Arabidopsis thaliana: one gene and its partners. The protein of the gene in region 2 interacts with the protein of the main gene of each other region in a pairwise test. Each region holds a gene or a part of one and is shown on either strand. Other genes may lie near its edges. The genes, in order: AT1G58110, AT5G05120, AT1G62975 and AT2G19260.

Region 1 (8,180 bases), on a different chromosome or scaffold from region 2:
CCGCTCCTCCTCCAGCAGAGTTCACAAATGGCCACATAGGAGGAGCACGGTGGCCTGCGGCGGTGTTATTGTTGCTACTACTCTCCATTTGATTACCGGCCGTTGTCGGTACCGGAAGCATCCAAAAAGTGTTCCCAGCACCAGACCTACTCGGCGGCGCAACCGCCCACATCGGCGCCGCCGTAGGACCCGACGTTTCACTTTCTTTCAAAGATTTATTCTCGTTCTGTTTCCGATCATCGTTTTCTTTAGACAAATCAACCGATCTATACCGTTTCCTAGAGAAATTCTCACCTTCAGGAATAGTTTCCACCGGATCTTGATTCTGATTCTGGTTCTGGTGGTGTTGAAGCTGATGATGAAACCCTAAAAGCGGCGACGTATGAGCAGCAAACACACCGCCGCCTCCTTGTTCATCATACTGATGATGAGTCAATCCAAGAGCACCGTAAAGCGGCACCGATTTCGACGGCGGAGCAGAGAGAGTCGATCCACTACTTCGTAACGAAACACTTAAAGTAGAGAAGTTCGCCGGAATAGTTCCTGTACCTGTAGCAGCAACAATAGCTGGCTCAGCTTGTTGAAGAAGCCATTCAATAGTTTCACCATCGGATTTATGACCTAACTCTCTCGTTAACTGAAAAACTCTAGCTGCACATAGCGCCGGCATACGAATCCGACGTCCTCTTCCGTCGACTTTCGTGTGACGGTCTTTAGTCGACCGCTTCGTTGTAGTCGCCGTTGCCGTAGATGAGGTTGTTGCGAGTGTTGAGTCTTCGGGAGGTGTAGATCTGGGAACGATTGAGAGAGATGCGTCAACTAGCTGTCTTGCTCCTCCTCCGGTGGCGACGGCGGCGGTGTCGTTGTTGTTGTTTCGGATGTCGGAGAGATCCATTTTCCGGTGAGAAAGAAGGGAAAAGAAGATGAAATTGAAATTAGGGTTTGGTGAAAGAGGAAGAAACGGCCATGGAAGCTCCGATTGTCGCCTTCAAGTTTGACTCTTGTCTTCTTCTTTGTCTCGAGAAGAGAGAGAGAGAGATGAGAGAAAAAAAGGTTTGATGATGTAAAAGCAGGTGGATGACTTTTCCAGCAAGAGGATATTATTATTAAAATAAATAATATATATGCCGTCATTAACATTAAATAAAACGTTTATTGATTTTTGATTAGTTATTATATAAATCAAAAAGTAATTAGGGGAGAAAAATAACTTTTCACAATTATTTTAAGTCTTTTTTATCAAAATTCTACCCAAATATGAGTTATGTTATTTTTCAATTACATTATTTTCATCACAACATTATTGTTTACCAATTTTAGAGCACCAATAAAAAAAGGTTTAAAAAAGATTTGTGGATTAAGAAAGTTAGAAAGAGAGAGATAAGCATCTTTCAGACAGTGAAGCGTGCGTATTTTTGCAGGTGGGGACAGCTCATTACAATCCACCTCCGTATCTCCATTTCACTTTTGTCTTAAATATTTTTAGTTTTATAAGATTTTGTTAAAAGTATATCCATTAGATAAATGACACTAAATTCTTTAATTAGTTATATAGTTTTGGGAAAAAATGCACTTTCAAATCGTTACAGCTTTTTGTTTTAGACGTTATTTTGGTTATAGATTCATTAACATATCAGTTTGTAAGAATTTGGATCACAAATTTGATCATTCAACCAAATTAAGAAAGACATCAAACGTTACTCGTCAAGAATCCCAAAGAAAGGATGGACAAAAACTTATCTAATTTGGAATTTTCTAGTATTTAGAATTTATGAACCGGTTGAAATGGGCCGGTCTGTTGTGGCCCAAACCCGAAAAATTATTTATGAACGGGTTTCCTCCTAATTTAATATGGTAAGGCGTTGGGGTATTTGGGTCTTTTTGGGTTTACGGTTCAGTTATTTTAAGATTTCAGATTCAGATCGGGTTTTTTTGGTTTGGATTCGAGTTCATCCGGAATATCCAAAACTCAAAATTTTGTATCAAAATATATTTAAATTACTTGAAAATACACAAAAAAAATTCCAAAAAACTTGAGTATTTTCTATCCGAATCTATCGAAAAGTAGGTAAAATATCCAAAATATATACAAAATCTAATATTTTATGCACTTAATAGTTGTTGTAAATATGATTATTACTAATAAATTATTTTTATGTATATATATTTCAGATATGTTCAGAAACTTGATCGGATTCGGGTTTTGTAGTTTAGGATCTGATTAGGTATTTTAAAATTTTGGGTTTGAATTCAGATCGGGTTTTTAGGGTCAGGTTCGGTTCGGTTCTTCGGGTTCGGGTATTTTGCCCACGCCTACCAAAAACATTTCTAATGTAGCCGTTTCAGTTTCCTCTAAAACCAAACGACAACAATGCTAACCAGTTTACTTTCTGATAACAATTGAGTTGATATAGGCCCTTCAAGAGGCTTGACAAAGAGCAATGAAATAGCTGTAAATGTGCATATAAATTAAGTGCAGATCTGAGGCAATCAAATATTTTGACGCTTGGGGATAGTACTACAGAAAATGGCAACAACTTTACATGAAGCATTCACTCGAAGGGAATGCACCATTTTACAAGTAACATAAAATACAACAGTGGGTATCATAGTACAACTCCAGAGATGAGTCCGGGTTCGAATATATTCGTCCCATATATTACACAAGTCGCTACAACAATCACCAGATAAATGAAGTCCAGGTGTCTGATCTTCGAACTAAACCACCTCAGGCAAGCCATCTCCTGGAAGTAATATAGGATTTCCAGGTGCACTGGTGAGTTAACTTGTCAACCATAAGAAAAGAAAAAAAAAGAAACGACGGGGGAGTTAAAAACGTCTGTGGTGAGGCGGTAGATAAGGGTCTGATCTTGTTGAGTCGCCAGGCCCTTAAGATCTCTAATGAACCAGTGGGTAGAGAGACATTTACTAAAAGTGGAATTGACCCATCACAGATACAGAGTCACGCCTACAGTTGGAATCTTTGGTGTTCAGTGAAAGACTGGAGAACTGAGAGTCGAGATCTTTGCTAGTAGCACGTCCGCGACTGGCTGATGGTTTTTGAGTTTGTTGTTGTTGCTGATACAACGCTCGTAGTCTCCCAATCTCCTTTTCCAACACTTCTTGTTCCACTGGATAATAGACAGAACTCATGAGGTATACAATCTTAAGAACTGTTGAATCTTGATAACTAGCTAATACTTACAAACTCATACTCTAGACTATAGTTTGAACCTTAAGAACCTAAAAGAAACTGCGAGAAACTTACATTGTTTGATAAGCTTCTCCTGAGCTATACTTTCGAGACGCTTCTTGAGAGCTTTATTTTCCATACTCAGAATAAGATTCCTCTGGTTGAGAAAATCAAGTTCAGCTGAAACTTTGGAGCCTTCTGCCTATAGTCACAAAATAAAATCCATACTTCAGTGCTGCACAAATTGTAATCTACTACATCTTTCACTTACTCTCTCTTTGAATGCAAGTTTTTTTGAGCCTTACCTGCAATGTCTGTACATTTCTTTCTAGCTCAGATATGTACTGGAGCTTACGGACCCGTGATCTTTGTGCAAATTGCCTGCAGGGAGCAGCAAACTAAATGAGTACTGATCATTCTATATTGCTTTGAATAGGTACATCAATCAAGAACGAGTAAAGAGATCACAAACTGTTTGGCTCGTTTTGTGTTGTCAGCTTCATAAGTCACAGGCGAAGGATTGGAGTTGTTTTCCTCAGAAGATAACATCTTTGGGTCATGAGAAAAAGGTTCAGCATAGTTCTTTCTTTCTGACGATATTACTGTTGCATCTTGAGACATATATAAAGCTCCCAAGTTTTTTCCGCCACCGTTCTCACGAGCGAAAGGTAACCAAGAAGGACAAGCCCCAGTTGCCACCAAAGAATCCCGCTGACGACTCTTCTGTTTCAGAAAACTAGCACCAGAGTAGAAGGCAGCATCCTGAGCATTTTTATTCCGGTCAAGCTCTTGGACTCCTCTTTGAGTGGATAAAACAGTATTCCTATAACTGAAATCATTTTGGAGAGTCAAACTTATGTTTGTAGCATTAGCCACATCTAGATAAGCGTAAGAGTCACTTGATGAACGCCGATGACCACATTTTCGAGCAGGGCTTTCCGGCTGCTCATTGAGAAGATCATCAAGCCAAAAGGGAAGCTCTTCTACCAAATGGCTCTCGGAGGAAGTTCGCTGGTGATGTGTTTTCTCATTACTAAGCTTCTGACCATGTCTTGAACCAATCAAACCAGTAGGAATATACTCGGAATACGATGCTGATACACTAGGAAACGGTATTTTTGGTGGGAGCAAAGCATGCTTTCCCGGGTACATCAAGTTTCTAACACTCTGTGATCCCTTGGAGCTAGCCATTGTCACCCTTGCCTGACAAAACAACAGTAAAAGATAGATCTGACTATTTAAACCATTGCATCAAAACCCACAAAATCAAATCTTTTTAAGCTTGGCCTAACTCCTAAGAACTCAGTAGCAGATTTAGAACAAAACAAGCAATCCAAAACCTAATTAAGCTAATAAAGTAAGGAAAAAGTTGGTAACAAAACATCAAACACAGATCAATGCAACAAATCTATAGAGCCTAAAATGTTTTATAAAGCTGACACTGAAGCAGAACACTATAGCTGACCAATTCAGACAACCAGACCAGAACAGGTCATCCAAATTCAGTTGCTTTCTTATTAATATTAACATAAACACATAAAAGCGATTACAAGAAATAACCATTTTTTCATTTCAGCTAATCAAAGTTTTTCTTACTCATCCAAGTTAATCAATAAGCTTTTTTCATCTTCCCACATTTTCCAGCAACCAAACAGTGAACACATCAAGTAGTAAAATTGTAATATCAAGAATCTATAAAAGGCAAGTAAAATCAGAAAGTTTCCTTTTTTAGAAACTATGAGAATCAGATAGACAGATACAGATTCGTCTTCCTGATTACAAGTTTTGATAATTGATTCTACTTTCCAACTTAAAGAAGAAGAACAAACTAACCAGTTGGAGACAGATCCAAATCGGAGAAATTTCAGAAAACAGAAGCTGAAAATGAGAACTCCGGCTTGTTTCTTCCACCGGAGATCTTCTCTGTCTTATCGTTGAAGGAGAAGAAGAATCTCTATTGACTAAGAGAAGGGTGATAGAGAGAAATTTGGGGGAATTTAAGTCCTTAAAAGTAAAATAAAAGCCTTCTCTTTTGTCTTAAGACCTTTTGTTTTTCTTACTTTTAGTATTTAAAAATAGTCTCAAATACTTTACAATATTTTATAATTTGACCCCGATGTTTAATTTCCGCGGATTTTTGATTCAAAGTTCAAATACTACTAATTTGAATTGGGACAAAGTAGAAAAGTTCTATTTCTTTTTCTTTTAGTTTATTGCAAAATTTGCTTTCTTAGTAATTGTCTCAATAATTATGGAGTTTTTTTGGCGGAATTGAAATGTAGGATTAAATTATTTAGGAGGTACTATAGTTTCGATATTAGAAATTTTGTTAGTTGTTAACAGACTCGTTTTTGTTCGACGTGGTTGATTTTGATTATCTCGGAACGAAAGATTTCTTTTGATAAATTATTTTGTTAGAAATCATGTATATAATTTTTGTCTTCCGTTTTGCTTTTATTTAATTTTTGTAGAATGTAATTCCATATATTTCTTAGTTTTTTCTAGAATTTGAAATCTTGTTCTTTCTTTTAAATTTTGTTTCAGGTGATATTTAATTATCCCACCATTAATATTATCTTTTGTGGATATGTAGAATTAACATGCACTATAGAGCAGCTGAATTGTCTTGTCAAGCAATGGCATAATTTGTTTTGCTTTTCATATTATTTATCATATTATAAAGTTTTCGTGATGAAAAGTTTTATCTATGAAAAAGGTTATAATATAGAAAAGAACATAGATAGACAAAGACATTAATCTAGTTACAATTTACACGTCATAAACACTACACAAAATGAAAGAGGATCTTTTGTCGAAGATCATGTTTTTAGCATATGGGCCATTTATTTATTAATTTCATTTATTTATATAATGATTGGTGAGTTGGAATTGATCTGTTACCTAACTTAAAGTGCAACAACATGGGCCAACTTGTCATTTTATTACATTTTTTTTATATTTATAAGTTCACAAAATGACAAAAACAAAAATGAAATCTCAAATTTCTATTTTTCTCCAACATGTCTCTCATAAAACTTTTATTTAAATCCAATTCTCTGGTTCCCAATCCAGTCTGTGGCGGCCCCAATCTTTCCACAACCTTATGAATGTTTAGTATCCATTGTTAATCACTGTGTTAACTAATCATTAACCACTTCATAATTTATATTACTACTTGTTTATCTACTTTGTATAAATAATAATCACATCTATATCATAGACTTGACCAATATTTGTTCTAATACTATTCTTAGCCCCTTGCATATATAACTATACATATTCATGAAGCTTGCATGTATTATATAAGTTAAGTGGGACGAGAAATAGACCATCACTATAAGAAAAACTATTGCATGTTGAGAAAAGGTGATAGATTAGTATGAATAAACAAGAAAAACAAATATTTCCCTTATCCGTAAAAAATAATATAAAACGTGTCAAGTAATTCGGGGTTTTAGGTCAGTTCATAAAAAAACATAATTTAGCCACGAAAATTTATGTGTTAAGCTTTTGCATCTATGGTTAAAATATGAATCGTTACATGTGAGCACTAATTAAATGGGCAACAACAATGGCTAATAAATCTTTAGCAAAAAAAAAAACAATGGCTAATAAATATTAACCCTTACAGTCACAGATTTGTGGATTAATAAGCTTATGGTATGTCGAAGAAGCAAAATTTTGTGGACTATCGTCGGTAGGATACTTCTAAGCTAGTATATAAAGTTTATGGAGCCTAATTGATGGATGTGGTGCTTATATATCATAATGGATGAAGAATACTTTGGTATTTTGTTGTATTAGAAAGATCAACTCATGCCTTATATGAGTTTCCGATGATAAAGTCATGATTTATAATCAAATTTGCTTAAGGAAGATGTAGACAAGAGATATATCATCGGTTAGAGATGATCTATGTCAAAGCTATGATATTATTGTGGCAGCATGATTACAGGAAATGATTTAACTAAATGTGCAACGAGTTTCTTGTTTCATCAACACAAAAACAGAGTCAAAACAATTAAGAACTGAAATGAGTTAGCACTGATGTGGACATACCCTAATAAAGGATAATGGTGAGGTTACTTGTAAAAGAAGTTAAAATCCCCCATGAATTAAGAGGAAAATATCTTAAAATAGAGAGAGGCATGGCGTAAACAAAGGCTCAAACAAAACAGCAAAGCCCTTTATATTTTCAATCTAACTCTCTCTCATGTATTGCGAGAAACAAAGAAAACTTAAGCCTCAAGAAATCAAACCCACAAAAAATCAATTCAACAAAACCTCTTTCTGCTCTCTCTCTCTTTTTCATTCCCATATGTTGCTTCCTTGAGTTTATCTCTTCCCAAAGAATGGGAAGCAACATCTGAGGATCCATTTGATTACCATACATATATTAAAAACAAAAACATATATCTTTGTGTGTGCGCGTTAATGATGAAATAGCAGATTGAGAGCAAGAAAGAGGTCATAGCTGATAACCACAATGGAGATTCAGAGGATGAGGCAGTTGATGTCTCTTTGGTCTAATTTGAAGAGTAGCCGCGTTTCTCTCACCGGTGGGAATCATACAGCCGCAAGGTTCTGCACTCGCTAGGCTCGCCTCTTCTCTCGCTAGCTTTTTCTTTCTTCTTTCTCTTCTTCTTACTTCCTTTTGATTCTCTTTTAGCTCTCTATTCTCTTCTCTTCTCTTCTCTTTTTCCTATTTCTTTAACTTTCAACTGTACATTTTCGCGCGCGCTCTTTGTCTCAGCTTTTAAGACATAACAAAACAAGATATGGTGTTTGTTACTGTCCAAGACTTTCACTCCATGTGCCAAAAGCATTGTCACTACCTCTTGAAAAAGAGAGACCGCTCGAGCTCCTCTACAAGCTCTGCGGATACTTTCCTCAAGGCTTCTCGCTCTGAAGTCTTGAGTCTCTTTATGAGATCAACGCTTTTGGCTTTGTTGTTTCTGTCATTTACTTGGTTAAGTCTCCTGAAATA
Region 2 (6,288 bases):
GGCTGTGACTAAACCAGAGACGGTGATTACCTGGTTTGAAGCCAAGGTCAGAGATAGTGAAGGAGGGGATAATATTCTTGAACTCCTGAAGCTGCTTAAAGTTCATCCATGGCTTCACCCAAACTTTAGCTTCATAAATCTTTTTCTCACCAGCTTCAATAACTTCAAGAGTAAGACGGTATAGCTTGCCAGCAACCACCTGCTCTGTTGCCTTCAATACTCTAGCAAGCTCAAGAACAGCATTCTACGCATAAAATCCAAAAGCTATTAGACCACATATAGAGATAAACACCGTGAACAGAGAAATCATAAAATTCATCACTAAATACTAATACAAAATCCTTAATCTCTAATCTTCAGACTATAAATCAAGAACACTCAGACACGCAAATTACTTGAATTTACGCTAAAAGTTTTAGAATCCTAACCCTAATTGCAGAGAATATACAAATTAGGTTGGAGGAAATCAAACCTCTCGTCTGTTGTGCTCTTGAACAGCGAAGAGTGCAATATCATCGATCTCTTTTCCACCGTTCCAATCGTTCTTGGAATCGCTAAATCCACCAAGCTTCATCTTTACGACGTTGTCGTTGTACGTTCCTTTTTCTTCACTGCAGATCACAAACTGGCCAAAACCCGAAAGGAGAACCAAGGAGACGCAAATTAACATCATACACATCGAAGCACGTCTCATATCCATTGTTCTCAGTGAGCTTCTCCGATTCCCAAGTTTCTGATCTAAACGCCGATGAGAATTTTCTTAACAGTCAGAGGGTGGTTTCTTTCGCCGGTTAAAGACTCTTTCCGTTTAAGAGAAGCAAACAAATATTATGGGCCATTAAATATGATTTTTAAGCCCATTTTATGGACTCATCTGAAAGCCCATTTTAAATCAATGTTGTTAATCCTTTGAAAAAAAAATATGCAAAAGATCAGTTTTCTTTTCTCAACCTCAAAGATCAGTTTGGTGCTGCTTCTCAATATGTGTTTGGTACTTATGCTCAGTCTTTGGCATTTGGTCAAATTTGTCTTGGGAAGCAGAAGTGGAGAGGTTGTTCACACAAACATTACTTTGTTTTTTGTATGGTTAATTTGGCTATTATCTAAAATTTTGTTTCTTATATAGAACACAAATCATTACAATATTTTATTTTTGATTGTAGAAATCATATAAAATGTTCAAAAATGTGTTTTTTTAGTAATTTGATATAGAGATTAAATGAATAAAACAATATAGAATGTTTTCTTTGTTCTATACCATTTCATGTTATATGTTCTATGTAAACAAAACCATTTACTCAAAACGATCAAAGACGCACTTTCTTAATTTTCCATAGTACAGTGTCATAAGCTTCGTTTTATTATCGAACTAGGTCATTGCTGCAAGTGACCCTTCAAAAATTGCACTAGGAAGAAGCCTAGGTGACTCAGAAGCGCAAATTGCAAAATGCAAAAGATTGCACTAGAGATTTTACCTCTAATTACAAGAGAGATTTAAAAGGCAAAGAGAAAATCTGAAAGCCGTGGTTAAGTTATTCATTAAGACAATCCATCAAAGAAACCATGAGTTTCAGTTGCGAAAGTGTGTTGGACAGCCTCAGGTACCAGTTGCGATTTACGAAATGTGTTGAAAGTGTGTTATAGTCCCCTTTTTCCTTCTCAGGTAGCTAATAACCAATCAATATCTTTGCTTTTGAAGGAAAGACAGGTCGTCGCACCATCCAATCTACGTGCTTCAGATCTTCTCTGGTGACGGATTCGTGCTCCTTCTCAATCCTCATCAACTTGTTTAACGTGTGCGCTATTCCCTCCGGCTCAGTGAGAGATTGCAGTTTCTCGAACATGCATGATTCTCTTCTTCTCCATCCTCCTATTTTCCACTTTTGTCTTCGCAAGTACATCAACCCTGATCGATGTCGGAGCATACTCCGTTGTACAGACCCTTTTCAAGAGATGGCTACTAGAACCAATGATACGGCGGAAGTTCATCGTCAATCCAAGCTCTCAAAGTTCACTAACCCTAATTATAATACATATAGCTTTCTTCTTATCTCCAATTAATGTGCTATTTATAAAAATGTTTACAAAGTTTATAAACCTTGATTACATAGATGTTCAATATCATAAGTTTAATCCAATCTGTATATTTTAATGCTGAAAAGATAGCTAAGAAACTATATAGATTTTAATTTGGTATGTTAGAGTTGAATATCTTGTTTAAACCTTGACTATACATAGATGTTCATTATCTTAAGTTTAATCCAATCTGTCATACTAAGCCATGTATATCACAAGAAAGTCTGAAAATGTGCTATATGTCATAGTAAAATTATTAAGTTAATGCTTTTTTGATGTGAGAATCAGCATTATAGATTTGATGGTAAAATGCTTCCATCAGTTTCTCTACTCTTATTAAAAGGTAGCCAAATTTAGTTTAATTACTTACTTTTAATATATATTTTCATTATGTTGATATGAAAATAATTTTATTTTTATTACCTCCAAAGTGATGTATATGAAAATAAATAAAATTGCAAGCAATGGAAAACAATAGAAAACTTAAAGGTAAATATTTTATTTAAGAGTTGAGATAATTATGTACTAAAAGTTTACTACATAATGACACTAATTAAATCTTTAATTCTTGTTTTCTAAAGTTGACTACATTAAGATCTACTAATTAACTCTTTAAACTCTTCTAAATAATTTTGTTTTCAACTATATCTCAAATTTAATAGGGCAAAACCAAAATCTCCCTACTCACTTTGGAAATCAGTAATGTTTGGAACTAATTTTGACTAAATATGCTAAATGCAACAAGTATTAATTCAGAAACAAATTTACTACGCAAATTCGGCAAATGTAAAATGTCAAATATATATAGTAATTAAACATGTTATGTGTGAGTTGTCGAAATGATAAACTAGTTTGTTAAGTACTTCAGTTAGTCTTTGTTCTTCATCATGTTTCTCTATAACTAAGTCCCTTTCCATATTTCATCAATATGCATTTATCTTATTCAAACATCATAACATTACAACATATAACTTTCCTTGATATTAAAAGTGCATACAAAGTATTAAATCTTTAAATACCTATCCGGGTGCAATAACATATTCAAGCCATCAAACCTAATTTCTAAAAGCCCGATCCGATCGACAACGAAATGTTGTCCTCGGACTCGAATTACGCTAGTGATATTAGCGACGATGCCTCCGCCACCGGATCGATAGAGAATCCTATATACAAATGCAAGTATTGTCCTAGGAAGTTCGATAAAACACAAGCATTAGGTGGTCATCAAAATGCACACAGAAAGGAGAGAGAGGTCGAAAAACAACAAAAAGCATTTTTGGCGCATTTGAACCGACCAGAACCAGATCTTTACGCGTACTCGTATTCGTATCATCATTCATTTCCTAACCAATACGCACTCCCACCGGGATTTGAACAGCCTCAGTACAAAGTTGATAGATCATACAAGATGTCCATGGTCTACAACCAATATGTGGGATCCTCAAGCTCTAGCTTTGCAGGACTACAAAGTGACCCAAGTCAAGGAATGAACCAGGATTGGACCTTTACCGGGATCCCATTCCTACCCCAATCTCAACCTCAACCACTATCGTCACCAATATGTTTGGATCTTTGCCTTGGCATTGGTAGCTCCCAAACCCAACCACAACCTCAAGAACCAAATGATGCAACAGAAGAGATGGATGCTGAGAAAGAAAATGATGGTTCTTCCCTTTCTCTCTCACTCAAACTGTGAAATTGTAATCTTTCCCTTTTAAGTATTTCTTAAACTTTCATTCCTCACCTTTGTTTTCTTGCATAGTATTATCGGCTTGTGTCAAATCAGTACTTGTGCACTTGAACATTGTAATAAACTTGGTTGTTATTTGCATTTGAATTTCATATAATAATAAAAACTTGATATTGTTCTGACTTTGGGGTGTCAAATTCTATTTATAAGAATTTGAGATGCAAATCTCAATTTTAGTTACTTTATGATACCAATATAAAAAAAAAAACCACTCTTTCGAAAGGATGCGGGTTTTGAAATACTTTCGAGCTCCTTCTTCTCTCCGTCATCGTTCCTCTCCCATGGCTCAGTTTCTTCGACGCTTCTCTTCCTCTCCCATGGCGAACGAAGACGAATTCCAATCTCCGGTGGAACCATCACAGCAGCAATCTCAGGACTGTGTTTCGGAGTCTTATCTGATAGGGTTTGTTATCGCGAACATAGTAGGGTTAAAGTACTATTCCGGCCGAATCAACGGTCGAGAGATGGTGGGTCTGGTTCGAGAACCCTTGAACGTATATGACAATAATGCAATCAGAGTACTCAACACGCGATCTGAGCAAGTGGGTCACATCGAGCGTACAGTAGCAGCCGTTCTCGCGCCGATGATTGATTCTCACACGATCGTCGTCGAGGGTATTGTACCCAATACTCGTTCTAACTCCAATAGGTACAGAATCCCTTGTCAAATTCATGTATTTGCAAAGTTAGAAGCGTCCTCTACTGTGAAATCGACGATTTCTAGAGGTGGGTTAGTATTGATTTCGGAGTCAGATACATCGTTTGGGTTATCTGAGGCTGTTGTGGTTAAGGAACAGATGGGAAATGGAGATAAGAGGAGTGTTGATAAGATTTTTAAACTTGTTGATGAGAATGTGAAGTTAATGGGGAAATTGGTAGCGGCTGAGCCACCTAGGGAAGTGATAAAGTCTGAACTTTTTGCTCATCAGAAGGAAGGATTAGGCTGGTTACTCCATAGAGAGAAATCTGGAGAATTGCCTCCGTTTTGGGAGGAGAAAGATGGAGAATTTTTGAATACTTTGACGAATTACCGCTCGGATAAGCGGCCTGATCCTTTGCGTGGAGGGGTGTTTGCTGATGATATGGGGTTGGGTAAGACCCTTACTTTGCTTTCCCTGATAGCTTTTGATAGATATGGCAATGCATCCACCAGTACGCCAACCGAAGAGCCTTTGGATGGTGAAGGAGACAAGATTGAAAAGAAGGGTAAAAAGAGAGGAAGAGGCAAGAGCAGTGAAAGTGTAACTCGAAAGAAGCTTAAAACTGATGATGTTGTTGGCATGAATGTGTCTCAAAAGACAACGTTGATCGTTTGTCCACCTTCTGTGATTTCAGCATGGATAACACAGTTAGAGGAGCATACTGTACCGGGAATCTTGAAGGTGTATATGTATCATGGTGGCGAAAGGACAGACGATGTTAATGAGCTTATGAAGTATGACATAGTGTTGACTACTTACGGCACTTTAGCTGTTGAGGAATCGTGGGAAGATTCTCCTGTAAAGAAAATGGAGTGGCTGAGAATAATTCTTGATGAGGCACACACCATTAAGAATGCAAATGCTCAACAGAGCCGAGTAGTTTGTAAGTTGAAGGCTTCCCGCAGATGGGCTGTCACAGGAACTCCTATTCAGAATGGTTCATTTGATTTGTACTCTTTGATGGCCTTTCTCCGGTTTGAGCCATTTTCGATTAAGAGTTATTGGCAAAGTTTGATACAACGCCCGCTTGGCCAAGGGAATAAAAAGGGTCTTTCACGTCTGCAGGTAATAATAATACATTACTTACATGTCTGCCTGTTTTTTGTTTTGCTCTTTGGTGAAAAGTTATTTAATGACACGCTTTTCAGGTTTTAATGGCGACAATTTCGTTAAGAAGAACAAAAGAAAAGAGTTTGATTGGTTTACCGCCTAAGACTGTTGAAACTTGTTATGTTGAGCTTTCTCCGGAAGAACGTCAGTTATATGATCACATGGAAGGAGAAGCGAAAGGTGTTGTGCAGAATCTTATAAATAATGGAAGCTTGATGCGCAACTACTCAACAGTTTTGAGTATAATCTTACGGCTTAGACAGCTTTGCGATGACATGTCTCTATGCCCTCCAGAATTAAGATCTTTTACCACTTCTACATCTGTAGAAGGTAATAATAACAAAACCGGTACATATTCTTACTTCTGGTTGCATAGCTTATATCTTTGTGCGTTTGTGAAACAGATGTGACTGATAAGCCAGAGCTACTGCAAAAGCTGGTTGCAGCATTGCAAGATGGCGAAGATTTTGACTGTCCAATCTGCATTTCGCCACCAACAAACATCATCATCACTCGATGTGCCCACATCTTTTGCAGGGCTTGTATCCTTCAAACTCTTCAAAGAAGTAAACCATTGTGCCCTCTTTGCCGTGGCTCCCTTACCCAATCTGATCTCTACAATGCTCCGCCTCCTCCTCCGGATTCTTCCAA
Region 3 (7,648 bases), on a different chromosome or scaffold from region 2:
TTACATGCCACTCTGCATATATATATCGACATAATCATATTTTAGCATTTGCAAATGGTGCATTCAAACAAGATATCATTCAAAATATTTGACTATAAATATATATAATTTCACTATGGTTAAGATAAACCATTTCTTTACGTTTTCAATCTACCTCTATAATTGTAATGCTCTAATGAAATGTGAATATTACCTGCGATATGAGACGGGGATGATACCAGCCTTCCAGTTAGCGATCTTCATAAAAGCTGGTTTAGTCAAATCAAAATGGACTCGTGGCGGATTACACCATCCACCATTGTTGGATGCTTGGCCATAATTTGGTGGACATATGTTGGTTGCAGTTACCACGGTGGCTGGTGACCCGTAGTAGCAGTTAGGCGACGACACACACTTTAACTGGAAACATTGACCGCATGCATAACCCTCGTTGAACAGGGCTGTGCTCAGCGCAGTCGTGGCTACCCCGTAGCCGCTGTCATACATGTTACCATAGCCACAAGCCCCACCTGATCGATATACATGGTCATGTTAAAAATTGTCAGTACATTTTAATGATCTTCGAAATTAAAGATTCATGTATTTATAAATAAGCCATAATTGTTTCATCTTGTTTGCATTTTTATGTTATGATATATGATTAGTACATTAAAACATAGAAATGCAAACAAACAATCGTTTCAAATAATATGGAATCGAGTCATATATAGTTTGTGTTCTACTTCTACATACAATACAATGTAGAAGTATATGGACTTTACCCATAGTTGCGCTGCCGGTGTCGTCACCGTAAAAAGTGGCTGAGGCTGTACGCCATGGGGTCCCGGCATATGTAGCCATTGATGTGCCGATCATTGCCATCATCGATAAAATAACCAGGCACTTGCGATACAAATTTTGATCCATTTTTACTCTGTTTTCTTGAGGGCGCCTACTCTTATTATCTCTCTGTAAAGCCAAGTCTTACTAATGCATAAGATCTCATATATATAATGAATACAATGGCTTAAAAAAATTTCCCTGAAATGAAAGGCGAAAAAATTGGTTTCAACGTGAGAAACACTATGAAAGAAGAGTATGAACAAGTAAGTAATGGACGTGCGTTCATGTTTGTTTTGGTCTGTGCCTCCCTTCGCATTCTAATTATTTTATTAGTTAGTTTTACTTTCTAATGTCTTCATATATTTTTCTTTCATTTTTTTTGTTTTGGTCAAATTTATAACAAAAGGTGTCTAGTTGATAACATATCACTTCATTTATTAATCACTGGCAGAATAATGAGATTGCTTCTTTTCTTTTGTTATATTATGAGAGGGAATATGTTTTGACACCACGTATCGTATTCGGACCAAAGACCAATTAGACTATTCTCCACAACCAATTTTCGAACTAGGATAATGTCGACATTCTCCTAAAACTTATAAATCTATTGAAGAATATGATGATATCTAAAGAAAGCTACAAATTATATTTTTTTAATTATTCATTCAAATTTCAAAAATGAACGTACCTAACATGTTAAGATATGATTTTGTTACAAGTTTAGCAAGGTCCCAATTTTTATATCTATCAAAAAAATCACTTGTGACCGATTTTTAAAGGAATGTTAATGGAAAAATTGTTGTCCAATAGGGTATTTTAATCCCAAAGAAATTATTGAGCAAATGACTAATTGATTATCATTTCCATATCTCCAACTAGCCAGTCAAGAATCTCTCATGTTTCTTGTAATTACCACTTTTCCTAAGCTTTTTACTAAGATTGGACTTGCATATGTTTGGAGATGTTTTATCCATATTTTAGAGATTCTATATATACACCCTTGTAACGATCATATATTTTCTATTTAATAATAGTAATTAAAATGAAGTATATCATAATTAGAATGCCAAGAAAAACAAACTTTATTTTACAAAAAAAAAAATGAAAAACAAGCATTAGTTTGTAACATTAATCTAAGCACTCAGAAGTAAGCCGATACACTAAAATAGCATGATCTTAGTATCTAACAACTCAAATAATGCATACATTGAAATTCAGTAAAATTCCAATTTCAAACCACGTAATATTTTCATTTGTCATAGTAACTAATTTTCTTCTTGTACATGGGGCTACATAGTCATTATTTTATCCTTAAGCTCCAAAATATTGATCTGTTTGCCATCCTCCACCTGAAAATTTGAAATGAAATGATGATTAGTGTCAATTTTGTTTTTAGAAAATTAAGGCAAGAAAAGATCAAACACTAAAACTTTTTTTTAGAAAATTAGTAATTTATTTATCTAATTCTAATTTCAGGTAAGTATATTCATTGTATTTTTGATAACCACAAAAGTAGTTTACAAACAGATTATAATTTGTATAGAAATTAGCAAATAAAATGGTATGTGAACTAAAAACTGATATTAGCAACTATGATAGACCCAAAAGTTTGTAAATTCTTGTAACCTTTTCTCTTTATATTTTTAGTAACAATTTTACCTGCGAAACAATGGTGTGCATGAATCTCTGTTGCCGTCTAGCTGAGAGGCAACTAACTACACTGAACCTTTGTTCTTGAGCTAACATTTGAAGAACACTCGAGAGACAAGACTTGTTTCGTCCGAGACAACAACTTATGATGATCTCAACACCAACTAAACAAGGTGTGACCACAACAGTAATGTGTTTGTCTCCTACACATGAGCAGCTTGATGATAGTGTTGATGCTGCTGATGATGATAAACTACTGGTGCATTCCTCTATAGCTGAATGAGTAGTAGTTGTGGCCGATATGACTTTTTTTACCCGATTTCTCTTTTCGTTGAGTTCTTTGATTTTGATTTGTAAGTCTTTGATGTAGTTCACTGCCTGCACGATGTGATCTGATGTCGAGCGTTTACCCTGTATGTTAAATGATATGGTCATGCTTAGAACAACTAACTAGCAATTATTTGATTCAAGAATGTACTTGGATATATTAACTAGTGTTAAGAAAAAAGAATGAACTCATCAGTTTAAGAAGATGTTTCCTTGATGTGGTATCCAAAATTCGAGTATTACACTACGTTGAAAAAAAAAACTATTTGTCAAAATTTCAATTTATATATTTTAGATATTAATACGAATGTGTAAGAGTTTCTAATTCTATGTATAAAGTGGTACCACAATATATATACGAAAGATTTAATTATGTAAAAAAATTGTTTTAAAAGTATATACGAAAGCATGAATGATCGAATAGTTAGTAAAAGCTTTCAAAACTAAGGTTCTCTATATACTTTCCTTTTCAATGGAAAGAAAACTGCTCGCTTGCACTTTAACAAATGAAATGGTTTTGTAAATTAGTATGTAATTAAGGACTATATATAGAGATAAAAATATAAAATATTTCTCAAGCTAATCATAATGAAATATCTCCCACTAGATAACTTACCTGGATATATTGAAATGGCAAGAGAGTTCTTAGTCTTTTGAAAAGAGATGAAACTTCTTGTCTTCTTTGCCTTTCAATGTCTCTATGTTTCATCTTCTTGCTCTCTCGATCATCATCATTTTTGTTGGCTTCATTCGCACCATATGTTATATCACACAAACTTCGTTTCTTATTGCTTCCACCAATTTTGTTTGTGATCGAATGGAAAACATCATTGTTTTGGTATGATATAAACGGAGAAAGAAGAAAAGAATCAGAAAATAGTAATCCATCTTCGTAGGTTGAATCAGGCATAAACAATGAAGGAACACAATCCATTGGAATTTGATATCTATGAGTACTTTTAATTTGGTTTGATTTTTCTTGTAGTGTTGTGACTTTCTGGCTTGTGAGGCTCTTTATACTTGCCTCCAAGATTTGTTTCTTCTCCTCTTTAATTGGACAGATGTGATGATAGGTTAGTGATCGATCTCGAAGAAACTAAAATCTCCACAAAATATGAGTAGTTGGGATTAAATTAAAGATGATAGTAATAATACTATTAAATTAAACTTTGCGCTGTTCATTTAGTGGCCATTTAATAATCACGTCAAATAAGAATGGGAACGTATGTTTTAAATGTGCTTGAACATATACATCTCACCTTCATTACACACCACCTAAGTTTTCAACTCCAATAAATTTCAGCTTCACAATAATTCTTAATCCATGGGTTTCATATAAAAATATATACAGATGTTTACACTTAAACATTCATACAAATGGATATGTTACAAATTCTTATGAAATTTTTGATAATACTATCCTATCTATCTCAACGGAATTGAAAATTCTATTGGACCATCAATTAGTAGGATGGTCGGCAATTTTTTCGACCGGAAACAAGACAACATATGTTGTTCAGAATCTAATACTATGTTAAGTTTCATGGTTCCAACTCAAAGGTTAATAACAAGATTATCTCATATCATTTATATATACTAATCAAGTCATTTCCCTTCTTACTGTTGTAAAAAATTTCTCCACAAAATGTTGAAATGGATTTTATTTTGGTTATTGACTCTTCACTTGAATTTCCAAGCAGTATTCAATTACATATATAAGATATATACAAAATTTAAAGTTTTTTTTTCTGGTCAAAAAATACTCCATCTGTTTTATTATAGTATAATATGATACTTTAGAGATTCTGTTTTTCATTATATATATGATGTTTTACAGATTTCTATGTTAACTGTAAATATATTTGTTTTTAATGGATATTTGTATTTTGCAGTCTTTTATATAATTAATTGAATTTTCTTTAATCAAGTATTAAATGATAGTTGTTAAAGAAAAGATAAATTTCTTAAAGTGTGTGTGTTTTATCTAAAACACCATACTCTCACCATTTATTAATAAGTGCCATATAAGGTTTTGATATAATACATAGAATATTAAGAAAACAAATACTTCCTCTGCTTTAAAGTATTTGTCTTTTAAGGTTTTTGCACATCAATTAAGAAAATAATTAAATTTTATTTTATTTTTACTCAATATATTCTCTAAATGTTTTAATTGGTCAAGATATCAAAACTTTGAGGAAAAAACTGGAATTTTTACCAAACATTTGCCTTAAAGATCTAAAATGACAACGAGACAAAATTTAAGTGGTAAAATGATAAATTAATTAAAACGGAGAGAAGAAACATTTTTTTTTTACTTTTTATCAATATACAAAAAATAACCGTCAATTCACTAAATCAATAGATTCAGTTGTAACTTTGATCAAAAGTCGGCATTACAAATATAAAACAACATTTATTTTAAAACAAAATTTAGTATATATGTAAAATGACACTTAATTTAGAACGTAGGAAGTATATTTTAAAACAAAGAGTACTTAACACAGCTAGAGTTCAGATTTCGGATCTTAGCTGAATATTTGCTTAGCTCGTGCAGCATTGATGGACCAAACTGTATTTCTTCTCTTGGACCAAACATTTACTGTTTTTGAACGAAGACCGAAGATTATTGATTTGTGTCAATTATTAGTATATTGTTGTTGCTACCAATTGTTAATGTCATCTCTTCATCATTTATTTTGAGTAGTTATGTCAAGGTTTCTTGATTTTATTTTCCACATTTAATTGAATATAAGAAGATTGACATGTATTTATTGTATACATGATAAGGTGTAGTTAATTACCATAAATAATTTAATCAAATAAACTTTATTAACTCATTATTTGTGAAATTAATATTATGACTGACTGATTTTTATTTCAAAAACTTTAAATAATTCTTAGTTTTGAGGTTATCGACTTATTATGGCACATGTTTTTTTTTTAATATATTTTCATTACAAATAAAACGAGCCATCAAGTTTAAGTCGGCAGATACAAATTATGTGACAGCTTAGTTGAATTTGAAGTTAAACTTAGACTAAAGAGAAAACACAAATCTTTTGTAAAGGTTTATTAGTATAGTGAAAAGGAGATTAAGTAAGATTCTTGTATTTAATTAATAGTAATGACGCGCAATAATTAAGGAGTGTAATTGCAGATGATAACGTGGACACTCAAAAAACCATTGAATGGTTTGCAATAATTGTTAGTGAAGTAATTAATATATTAAATGTGGTCAGGATTAGGTCTGACATTTTGGTAAATGGGGTCCCTTATTTGCATGTCCATTTTGATCTTCATGCACCTACAGAATCATAGATTTGTATGTGATCAGTGATGACGAATTAGTGATATGGTTTTATGATCATTAACATTGTTTTAATATGATAAATTAAAGATCTATTTTGTTAGTGTCCATTGTCCATATTGATCTTCATGCAACTACAGAATCACAGATTTGTAGGTGATGACGAATTCATGAATGATAATAATATGCGATCATTAAGATGGTTTTAATTTGATAAATTCAATTCTGGTTCAGATCTAAACCGGCAACTCTGAACCGATTAATAATTTCTGAACCAAACTAAATCCAAGTCAAAACTCCAATCTCACCTTTTGTTGTTTCAGTGTTCCACTACATCTCAAAAAAGCCATAACTAAACTATACTTTGTTGGATTGTAATATTGGGCCGTGGATCAACTGGACCAGTTAAGTCCAACATGTTTATGGATTATTCACTTTTCGTTGGTTCTAGCAGTAAGAGAACAAATCCCAGATCAAAACGATTCTTCTGCAAGTTTTTCCAGAAACTACATTAATCCAAAAAGAGGCACCAAAACATTACAAGTTACAGCCACTACTTCTAAACTTAACCCGAATAGCTTAGACCGATCAGACCCAGCCTAAGCAGAACATGGAAACCGCGGAAGCAAGCAACATTACGCTACACCTACACGCCTACACTACATAAACAGAAACTACTACAACTAAAAATACAACAACAGAGCCAGAAATGAAGAACAGAGAGAGCCTTACTGAAGTTGTTCTTTTTCTGTTCCCTACCCGACTGATTTTACTCAATCAACCTCAATTACTTTTTGACGTTTTGGTTTGGTTGTTGCTTTAGCTTTACTCTGCTTCACATTCTTCCTCCTTTTTGTACCATTCATCAGCCAGTCATCATCGTCGTCGTCCTCACTAGGATCAGAACCAATGTATGAATCATCATCTTCTTCTTCGTCGTCATAATAGTATACCTTTGGAGATGGTTTTTTGGGTGCTGATTTGGGTAAATCACTCACTGGGATTTTAGTATGTAAACCAGTGACTGGGATTTTAGTCACCACTTCTGAGAATCCTATTGGATAGAAACCCCAACAGCAATAGTAACTATCTTCTTCGGCAACTGGCGGTGGAGAAGGAACTTTCACTGCCTGGTAAGCTCTCCTGCAGCTCTTAGTTTGGCATTTAAGCACGCTTTCCTCGTAAATGATGGGATACTCGTAAAGCACGTAGCAGTATGGACAAGTAGTCCAGAAACTCGAAACCTCCGGCTCAGAATCGGTTCTTGCAGCCCCGCTCTTGGGAGTCTGTTCTGGAGGTGGGGTTTGGTTAAAAACGTGAGTTGGCTGAGCCACTGGCGCAGGGGCAGGTGGAGAAGGAATAGTCGAGGCTTCTGGAACTGCAGAGGGAGTAGTAGAAACAGGAGGTGACTGGAATGATTGAGTTGAATTGAAGACTGGAGGCAGTGGAGAGAGAGAACTAGAGGCTGCAGGTGGCTGAGAGGGACAGGTTGATTGAAATGTCGGTGGTGGCTGAGACACTGGCAACGGCTTAGAGGTT
Region 4 (9,709 bases), on a different chromosome or scaffold from region 2:
CCTACTAGAATCAGTCTGGAATCTTGAGTTATTCTCAGACAACGAAGCAAGAGAAAAGGTCCTACACCAGAAATATCGAAAAGCCTTGGTTCTTGTACAAAAATGATTCAATCCAGAAGACTTGAGGTTAAAGATTGAAACCCACATAAACAGGGACTGGTCACAAGTTATCTGAAGAAGAAACAAAATCAAATTTTGTCAATTTTTGTGGTTCTGAGAGAAACCCACATCATAAAATTTATCATTACTCTCAAGCATTGTATCACTCAAGTAGCTGCAAAAACTTACAAAATGGCTTGTCTTAATTTTGATCGCCCGGAATAATAACGGCGACGGCGAGCAGAGAGAGAGATGGAGAGATTGGTAGAGACGATGTGAAATTCCGGTTTTTTCTCTTCCAGAAATCAAACCGGTGTCCTAATCTAATAACAAAAACTGGGCCTTCTTTTATGGGCTTGAATCGGAATCTAAGGCCCATTCACGTTTCTTATGATTATTATTTATGATTTGTGATTCCGGTTTGACCACAATAAAAAGAGAGAGAAATATCATTTTGATTCCGGTTTTCTTTCTCCCTGGATTCGAACCGGTTTTTTAGAAACCAATTGCAATAAGATTTCTTATTGGAAAGAGAGAGAAATATGATTTTACCCATAATGTATTTATGGGGTTATTATGCTTATAGGCTATATACGTTATATACCTTAACGAAATTTTTTACCCATAATGTATTACAGTATGGGATTTGGGCCATTTGGCAAAACCTTTTTTTCACATCACTTCCAAATGGGCTTTTAAATGGGTCTTAAATCTCTCCTGAAAAAGCCCATATAAATAAGACAAATACTCCGACATATCTCGGCGACGGCTAAGTCTTCCTCTCTCTCTCTCTCTCTCTCTCTCTCTCTGCAATGGACTCTCTGGTAGCGAGCTACGCTTCGTCGGACGAAGAAGAAGATCTTCAACCACGTCGAGAAGCTTTCACTGTAAAATCCTCAGAACCTTCCGCTTCGTCTCTATTCTCAGCTATTCCTCAACCTAAAGAACTCAAATCCTCCGAAGATGGTGATTTAGGCTCATCTTCCTCTCGAGGAAAATCTTCTTCTTTCCTCTCATCTCTCCCTCCTCCCAAATCCTCAATTTCACGGAAAAAAAATCCCAATCCGTCGTCAATTCCGAAACGTGTCGTCCAGATCAGGCTTCCAGTAAACCCTAGACCGAGCAATCTTGACGACGAAGACGACGAAGAAGAAGAGAAAGCTAGGAAGAAGCGTAAACAGATGGAATCTGCTTCCGCATCTCACGATTCATCAGTAAGATCGTTCTTATCCGCCATGCCTGCACCTAAAAGCTCACAAACACTAGGTGCTCTTCCTTCATTGGGATCAGGATCAGGTCGAAGATCGAATCTCGAAACAGAAACACCTTCAATTGCATTTCCTCAAACGGATTCAGGTATTAGTGATCAACAAAACCAGAGCTATGAATCGTTTAGTCATAGTAATAGCGAAACGGAACAAATCGTTGGAGTAGATAACTATTATGCTACTGGTTATGATGGTGGATACGAAACAATTCCTAGTGGTAGTAGTGTGGGATATGATGGTAGTAGCTATGGAGGTAATACTTGGAATGGTGGTGGGTTTGAGGCAATGACGGGATTGCCTGAAGCGGTTGTAGCTATGGATAGTGGTGCGAGGAGAGGAAGGAGAGGGAGGAATCAGATGCCAGAGATTGTTGAGGTTAAGCAAGATGAGCTTATGAAGAATAGGCCACGAGTTGATCAGGTTAAATCTACTGGAATCGCCTTTGGACCTGCGTATCAGGTTTGTTTACTCTCTAAACTCTTCTTACTCGTTTTTGGCTGCAAGAACTTAGGAATTGTCTTTAGAAAAGCCTGAACTGGTAACACTATAGAGTATAGAGCGTTGTGAATTTGTCTCCTGTTTGTGGCTGCCATTGTCAAGTTTTTTCTTGCGAAATTTATTTGCAATAACTTGGGTGTTGTCTTGTCTCTAATGTCTCTTATTATTCTCATTCTCTGGTTCTGTATATCTAAACCCTTTGCTGGTAGGAGATTTTCATTAGAGAGCATATGAGTTGAATATGAGTTGAAGATTATCTCTTGTTTGGGGCTTCTGTTGTCAAGTTCTTTCTGTTTTGCTGATAAACTTCTTTGTGGATTTATAGGAAAAGAGATACTTTGATTATCATACCAATTTTATTATGTGTTCTTCACTGAAAATATACTTGACTGCTTTGTATTGCTTTTTAAATGATGTCTTTGTTCAAATTTGTCTTGCAGCCGGTAACATCTTCATCTAAAGGGAAAGTGTCAAAGCTTCACAAGAGGAAGCATCAAATCACTGCGTTGTTCATGGACATGAAGCACAAGGAGTCGGAGTTGACAGAGAGACGTTCTAGAGGATTGCTCACGAAAGCCGAGACACAAGCTAAATACGGATGGTGATTTGCCGCTATTGTTTTTCTCAATTTGTGAAATTTGCAACAGATTTTCTGTAACTCAGAGTGTAATTTTTTTCTTTTACTATTTTCCAAGATCCAAGCTTTGAATGTAATACTCATTTCCGTGAATGAATCTAATCTCAGCAGAATGCTTTGACCCGGAAGCTGATTATAGATTTTGTTGCATTCAAGATGAATCTCACATTTAACCCAGAACCTGTCCCTTAACACAAACGTTCTATTCACTACTCCTGTTTTGGGAGCTAACAAAAGATCTGAACCTAATTAGTCACTTAGAAAGCAACTTGATATCCTCAAGTAGTACAAAAAGCATTGGCGCTTCACAAAAAATTTCTGATGTTACCTTTCTAGTTTCTAAGGTCTCTCTAATCCAAAAGCATATGCATTTTGATTGTGTCCATCAAGATTTTCCTTTGATATGTGATCTGCTTCGACCCTTTGGTCCTAGTTTTCGCTTTTTGGCGTCTGATCGAGGTCTAAGCTGCAGAGGAAACCGACCGTTTCAGTTTTAGATCCTTGATCAGAAAGGAATATGGTCGGGAAAGATCAAACAAGTAATGAGAAAAATAACGAACCATCTTGATGTACTTGAGTTGTTTAAGGATCTCACTTGTCTCCAGTTCCTGCAGAAATGAACACAAGATGCATTGTATAAACTTCGATGGCTCTTTTAGGAGTATTAAGATATCTGTTCAAGAATACAGATGACATGTTCATGGAGAAAGATGAAGCAAGACGGTTCAATAATTTTCAATGCTTTTCATCCTCTCACGGCTGCTAACTTTTCATCCTCGGAAGGATTTTTCTTTGGGGGAAATAAGATAGTTGTAAAGAGAGTTTCTGACCTGAGGGACGGCACAGTCAGCACGTGATGGATCCCAAGAGAAGCAGCAGAAGCATTCCCAGTCTTTGGTTTGTACCTCTGAACGAGGGGCCCTGTGTATATCCAGTCAAATTAAGCATATTTAGACAAGGAAGAAGGTATTGGTAATTGGTAAGAAGTCTGATGAAAAGGCGATAGAAAGTAAGTTACATTCAAGACGAGAGCATGAACCAAATAATGGAACTTGCAAAATTGTTTAACTTACCTACGCCACTTTCCGCAGATAACTCCATTAGTATCTTCTTCTCTGCATTGAAGCCAATTCACTGCAGAACATTGTTTCTTACTATTCTTGGCCTTCTTGAGATCCTGCAAAGAGAGAAGGATGGCAGCTATCTGAAATCCAGCTAATTCTATGGCAACATAAACTTATGCTTATCCACTATACTGAGAGCTTACATGCATGTATTCTGACTGGCCAATTTCCAATGGTTCACCCACAAAAGAAGTATCACTGCATTGAGATCAAAAAGCTTTTGTATGTCAACCAAATAAAACAAAGCCATTCATTTTAGTGAAAGGAACAACACTTATTTGCCAGTTGACCGAAATCTTTGATATTACAATAGTTCAAAGGACTGTTGAATATCAAAGTGCATACCTCATTGTTGGACCTGACCAGTCTGGAACATCTGCTTGAAACATTTTTCCTATTCTAATTCCTATTACAAATGGTACTGTAACTCTCCATTTCCGTTCATGTGAAATTCTCCCCTTAGTCTTGGTCTTTGATGACTGATTTTTCAAACAGGATGGACAGAGCCACTCATCTATCTCTGCAACGTCTTTCATTTGAACACCGCAGCAGCGTGTATGATATGCTTCTTCACATTCATCACAAATTAGCATCTTTTCGACAGTTCCTGGCTTATCACAATGTTTACACTGCCTGAAAGGGCTGCTACTACCATCTGTATCTGTCTCAGACACCCCAGAATCAGAGGAATAGCAATCATCTTCCCGAGATTTACTAGAAGTTGAATTAACTTCAGAACTGGATTTCAATGAGGAGCAGCTGTCATTTGTTCCATCAGAAGAACATGTCACTTCGGTAACTTGGGTATCGTCTAAAAGTTCTCGAGAACTGACAGTAGAACGTTGATCACCATTTTTCTTGGTTTCGCTTAGGTCACGTCTAGCAAAAGGTCCTCTGAATTTTAACTTCTTCCGGGTATAAACTAGAAAGCCATTAACCCGAACACCAATAGATTTCCCACTCTTCTTCCTCCGGCTATACGTAAGTAAGACCTCAGATCTATCTCCATTTCTCTTGGTTTTTCCAACATGACTTTCAGTAAAGCTCCCATTAGATTTCACTAACTGCTTTCTTTGGCTGTAAACAAGTTGATGACCACTTTTCTTGATTTCTCCAGGCTTAGGTCTAGTTAAAGAACTATCAGCTTTAACTATCTGTCCCATTTGGCTACATGCAGAAGAGTCAGCTTGATCATAGCTTATCTTGGTTCGTCCAGTGACATGTTTGCTAAAACTACAACTATTAAATTTCACTCTACCTTTCTTCCTGCTATACACAAGGCAATCATCTGATCGATTGCCTCTTCTCCTGGTTTCTCCACAGTCATGCTCAGAAACAAAAGCATCATCAAGCCCATCACCCCTTATCGTAGTTTCTCCAGTAAAAGTACAACTGGATTCCCCTCTCCTTTTTTTCCGGCTATAGACAAGACAGTTGTTGAAGCGATTTTTCCTTTTTGTGCTTTCTTCAGGGTTATATAAAGAGACAATAGAGTCATCAAGAGAATCATCCTGTTTCCTGATTTTTCCTAGGTTATGTTCCTCAGTTCCCCCAGGTATTAAGGTCCTCTTCCTTCGACGATACACAAGAGAAGTCAGAGCCTTTCCCGATACCTTATGCATAACAGATTTCTCTGAACAACTTTCTTGATGTTTTGGATGTTTTGATTCATCAAGATTCATAGTATCAGTGACTGGAACATTTTTAAGAAAGCTTACTTGAGACTGTTCGGGAACTTTGTGGATCATCTGATAAGATTCAGCAAGAGACGTCCAATCATATGCAGCAAATGGGTCTTGATACTCGGATACGTTCAGTAGACTAGTTTCAACAGAAGAGCTGAACGAACTTTCCACCAACATGTTTTCCTGAGAAACCAAAAAAGTATCTGAAAGCACATTACTTCTCTAAGTACCAATGAATCTGTTGGTCGACTTCTTCATGTAGTCCCTCTGGAATGGTAATGCTCATATCCTTCTGATCACCTAAATGTCGAAAGCAAAACATGGAACAGAGTCAAAATGCAAGAAAACCAAGTCCATGAGTACCATAACGAAGAAACAGTAAGTTATCTTCTGATCACTAATTTGGATCAATTTCACCCATTGTTTTAAACTAACTCCAGTAACTTATCAGGCGCTCAAAAGGTTGCTCTCCTGATTCGTGATTGAATAATTTTGTGGTACTGCATTAAGCGGACACATACTGTTCTCATCATCTCCAAGTCTCACTGAGAAAAACAAATCGGATTCCTAACTAGTGATAAAATGCAAACTTTCCATTCAGAAAAACCTTTAATCCTCAGTAAGTTAGTAATCCAGGATGTTCTTGGATGCTATTCAGATCCAAATTCAGCACCCAAGTTTAGAAAACTACAAAAATTCGGATCTAAAGTGACTCGAATCTGGAAACCCATGCGCCCTTCAACCTAGATTCAAGCTACATATCTATATCATCTTAAATCCAGGTTGCACAAAACGTTTGTGAAGTAAGCAAATTTCTCTTCCTATTCTAAAATTCAAGTCTCAATCTCTGAGAAATCTTAATCTTTCAGTCGTTTAAAGCACCATGCACCCTTCAACCTAGATTCAAGCTAGACATAAATTTCTCTTCCTATGCTAAAATTCAAGTCTTAATCTCAACAATCTCTGAACAAATTTTACCTTTCTGAGAAATTCACAACAAAACAGACTTCCGTTCTTATGAAAACCCTAGAACACAATCAAACCATCGGAGACTAAACACCAAAATCCAATTCCAGTAATTGCAGAAACCTTCATATACCTCACAAAGCACAGCCAAATCCAGTACAAAACAACAAACAATACAATGAACAGCGATACACAAACAAACAATTTCGTAACAAGAAGAACAATCTCGCATTTACCAGATGGACTACGAAGATACACAAGAGCAAAATCCTCGTTTGGGCTTCTCCAAGTTATGGCGTTTCTTCTAAACAAGTTTCTCAAGTTTCCGACTCCTCCACTGACGCAAGCTCTCTCTCTCTCTCGCTCTATCGCTCTCTCTCTCTCTAACTCACTGGCAAAACAACTTTCTTTGATTTTCCTGTGGAAAAATTTATATATATAACTTCAAAATCTAATTTATAATTAAACCGCTCAGATTTTTTGTTCTTGTGTAAAATGGGTCTCTTTTTTTAGTTTCTTGCATTCTGATCCCTGAATCTGAACTGTATCAGTAGAGAAGATTCACAGATTCAATATTTGTTAACCAAATCACAATGAAGAACCACAAAATATTTGGCATTTTTATTATATATTACATACATAGGTGTTACACTGTTGCAGAAAGTTCAAAGCTACATGTGTCAAGACTTAGACTTGTTTATTCCAAGAGGATCAAACAATACAAAACTATACATATGATTCTGCAACATAACAACATTTCTCCTAGAAGCTCAAAAGCCTCTGCTATTGAGTCCTCTTGGGAGTAAAACAAGAAGACTTGCCTAAAACTCAATGGCTAGTGCCTCAGGTGTAAACAAAGCTTCTCCATTAGTGCTTCAAACTCGTCCTCTTCTTGTCTCTTTGTCTTCTAGAAGTTGCTTTAAGCTCATCAAAACTCAGACAATGACAAAGATGTGACATCTTAGAAGTTGCGAAAAGCATGTGCGAGACTAATGGCAATGGTCAGGAAAAATATGAGAGCAGCGCTATCACGAATTTCAACTTCTGTTTTTCGCTTGCATCTAAGAGTTAAACAAGAAAAATATCTGCGGTTGAAGGAAGAAAAAGAGACACTTGCCTGCTGAGTGAAGCAGTCTCGTTTGCAGAATCTCGAAGTTGATTAATCTCAGTCTTGTCCTCGTTGATTGCTATAGCCCCAGAATTTTCAGAGTGCCTTATAATAGTGAGGTTGTTGAGAGAGACCTTATTTAAATATCTTAGAGCCCACCTTCTTACTCATCAATGTCAGATGTTGTTGCACCATTTGCTGACCTGACAATGGAATTCAGGATATGATTACCGACAATAGATTTTATGAAGAACCAATACTGAAAAACCAATGTTTATTAGCGACATGAATGAGGATGTTATAGCCTAACACGTTCTAACTGTGGATGCTGGATACCTATAACAATTGGAAACAAGTACTTTTTCACGGATACCTTCTTTAGTTCAAAATCCAAATTTTATGAAAACAATGCCCCTTATGGTTTTGCAAACATCTGATGAACTTACAGCTACATAATGCCAGCAGTTAGAACATTTTAGACGCAGCAATCAGATATCTTATATAAACTACAGAAGAGATTAGAAAATAGGAAGCAGATGTTAGACCATAATAACCCCACTAGGAAGTCTGAAAAATAGAACTTATACCTTCATCTTCTACGGAGAGTCTTTCCTACTCTTTGGTTGTTTCTCCTTCCGGGTCTCTCTAATACCGTTGCACATAGTTATAAGTTTGTATCTGTTACTTAGACCTCAGTCTTCGCCTTCAAAAATCTGCTCATCTAAAAGACAGTCGTTTCTGAGTAATGATAAACAAGAAAATCATAAGCTATAACAGTTTACCAATAGTGTTGCAAAAAAATTAAACTGGAATCATTACATAACGAGAAGGTGGTTAATATTGTGAGCATGAAAGGGTGAAACAACTTAGCACACTGCATTATCAGTCTTGCGAAATAATTGGAGGACAAATCATATGAATCTTCATACCATTGGATACTACTACCAACTTGGTTAGTCAATAAACAACACTGGCATGCTTTTTTATGCGTAAACTACTGTCCTATGGAGAATCTCAAAAACGGAGTTTCTTCTACTTTGCTTTTTTTTGAGCAAATCACTGTATTTCTCCCGTAAACAAATAAAGGGATTAAAATAAAAAGTACTCACATAGTATAGTCCACTGCTCTCCATTGTCTTGGCATGGATACAATTTCTTCATTGTTGGTTTCACCTAAGGGGACCCTGTTTCCAAGTGTACGTATGACAGTTCTTCTAAAACACGGCTGCCGAATCCTATAGAAGAGCAGCTCAAGCTAGTTGAAGTTATGTTGCCATCTTCATCGCTAGCATTTCCCAAGCCACTAATGCTATTTCCGTCTTCCTTCGCTTCAGGATCATAATCACCATTCTCAGAGTCATCTTAAGGCTAATCCACATTGTCATTGAGTAACATTTCAGAACCAGTATGGAGACTAGCTTCACCTTTGAATATATCCAAGAGGAGAGTACAAAGTCTCAGAAGTAGAAGGAACATTACAGTGTTCATTGCTGTTTGTCTCTTTTACCATTCTAAAAACCTCATTACAGTGTTCTTGCAACTGTTTAGCAATTCCAACTGCTGCTACGGGATCTTCAAAACTCTTAAAAAGAGAAAGAACAGAGAATTATCAAAAAGAGCCAGGCAATATTTTTTATCATCGATTCATACACTCCAGCAATACCTTAAATTAATGGCAACACGGTTACTCTTGGATAGCACCTTCTTCAGGTTGGTAGATTGCAACTAAAAGTGGCTTGCATGGGTTCCTAAAGCTGATTCCTTCTCTTTCAACTATATTGAGTATTAAACATCTGTAGTAGCTCTATATCAGACTCATATAGAGAAACAGACACAGAGACGCACGTCAAATTCCTCTTTTTAAAAGTAGTGATACACACGAAGTCAAGTCAATTTAGAAAAATATAACGAAACACAGACATTACATATACAGAGTAATGTAAACTGTTCAAAGATCATATTGAAACTGTTGTTGAGCAGTGTATATGATAAAGAGCAAAAATTGATGCAAAGCCAGAAGCCATCAAGTCTTTTCGCATCTGAATCGAAAAATTGATACAGAACTGCGATAAATTACTTACCGATCATGCGTGGTCGGTTGAGTCACCGGCGGCGACTGACGAAGCTGTGGGGTTTGGGTTCGTCGTCACCTTCAACTTTACTTTTTGTTCAACTCTTAACGTTTTTACATTTGAGCCCCTCTATTTAACAATCTATATTCAATTTGTTTTATGTTCATGAAATGAAAATTACATTCCATTCCCTATATTTTTGAGACATATTTCAAATTTGTTTGTTGGTTTTACTTTGGAAAAAAGAAAATA

What was found.
Region 1: the proteins of AT5G05120 (region 2) and AT1G58110 interact in a two-hybrid assay, tested with the Arabidopsis thaliana proteins (one large-scale study listed by BioGRID).
Region 3: the proteins of AT5G05120 (region 2) and AT1G62975 interact in a two-hybrid assay, tested with the Arabidopsis thaliana proteins (one large-scale study listed by BioGRID).
Region 4: the proteins of AT5G05120 (region 2) and AT2G19260 interact in a two-hybrid assay, tested with the Arabidopsis thaliana proteins (one large-scale study listed by BioGRID).

Annotation. Positions count from the first base shown.
Region 1 is NC_003070.9:21,512,991-21,521,170, forward strand, and holds AT1G58110 (Basic-leucine zipper (bZIP) transcription factor family protein), read right to left. Parts: upstream 5,281-8,180; 5' UTR 5,027-5,280; exon of another isoform or gene 4,790-5,026; intron 4,397-4,789; 5' UTR 4,385-4,396; coding exon 3,666-4,384; intron 3,575-3,665; coding exon 3,499-3,574; intron 3,396-3,498; coding exon 3,269-3,395; intron 3,132-3,268; coding exon 2,929-3,131; 3' UTR 2,415-2,928; downstream 1-2,414. Other genes in the region: TCP8 (TCP family transcription factor), read right to left, coding at 1-895; AT1G58120 (uncharacterized protein), read left to right, coding at 7,972-8,180.
Region 2 is NC_003076.8:1,508,066-1,514,353, forward strand, and holds AT5G05120 (C2H2 and C2HC zinc fingers superfamily protein), read left to right. Parts: upstream 1-3,166; coding exon 3,167-3,772; downstream 3,773-6,288. Other genes in the region: AT5G05110 (Cystatin/monellin family protein), read right to left, coding at 31-244, 473-700; AT5G05113 (uncharacterized protein), read right to left, coding at 1,668-1,925; AT5G05130 (DNA/RNA helicase protein), read left to right, coding at 4,051-5,592, 5,676-5,967, 6,042-6,288.
Region 3 is NC_003070.9:23,324,986-23,332,633, reverse strand, and holds AT1G62975 (basic helix-loop-helix (bHLH) DNA-binding superfamily protein), read right to left. Parts: upstream 3,908-7,648; 5' UTR 3,734-3,907; coding exon 3,416-3,733; intron 2,884-3,415; coding exon 2,482-2,883; coding exon of another isoform or gene 2,458-2,481; exon of another isoform or gene 2,172-2,457; coding exon 2,112-2,171; 3' UTR 1,822-2,111; downstream 1-1,821. Other genes in the region: EXPA18 (expansin A18), read right to left, coding at 1-12, 194-509, 762-906; AT1G62978 (uncharacterized protein), read left to right, coding at 1,026-1,172; AT1G62970 (Chaperone DnaJ-domain superfamily protein), read right to left, coding at 6,883-7,648.
Region 4 is NC_003071.7:8,353,110-8,362,818, reverse strand, and holds AT2G19260 (RING/FYVE/PHD zinc finger superfamily protein), read right to left. Parts: upstream 6,728-9,709; 5' UTR 6,514-6,727; exon of another isoform or gene 6,290-6,513; intron 5,612-6,289; 5' UTR 5,489-5,611; coding exon 3,972-5,488; intron 3,825-3,971; coding exon 3,770-3,824; intron 3,680-3,769; coding exon 3,576-3,679; intron 3,424-3,575; coding exon 3,333-3,423; intron 3,111-3,332; coding exon 3,063-3,110; intron 2,969-3,062; coding exon 2,888-2,968; 3' UTR 2,607-2,887; downstream 1-2,606. Other genes in the region: AT2G19280 (Pentatricopeptide repeat (PPR) superfamily protein), read right to left, coding at 1-147; AT2G19270 (mitotic checkpoint protein PRCC-carboxy-term protein), read left to right, coding at 912-1,826, 2,306-2,470.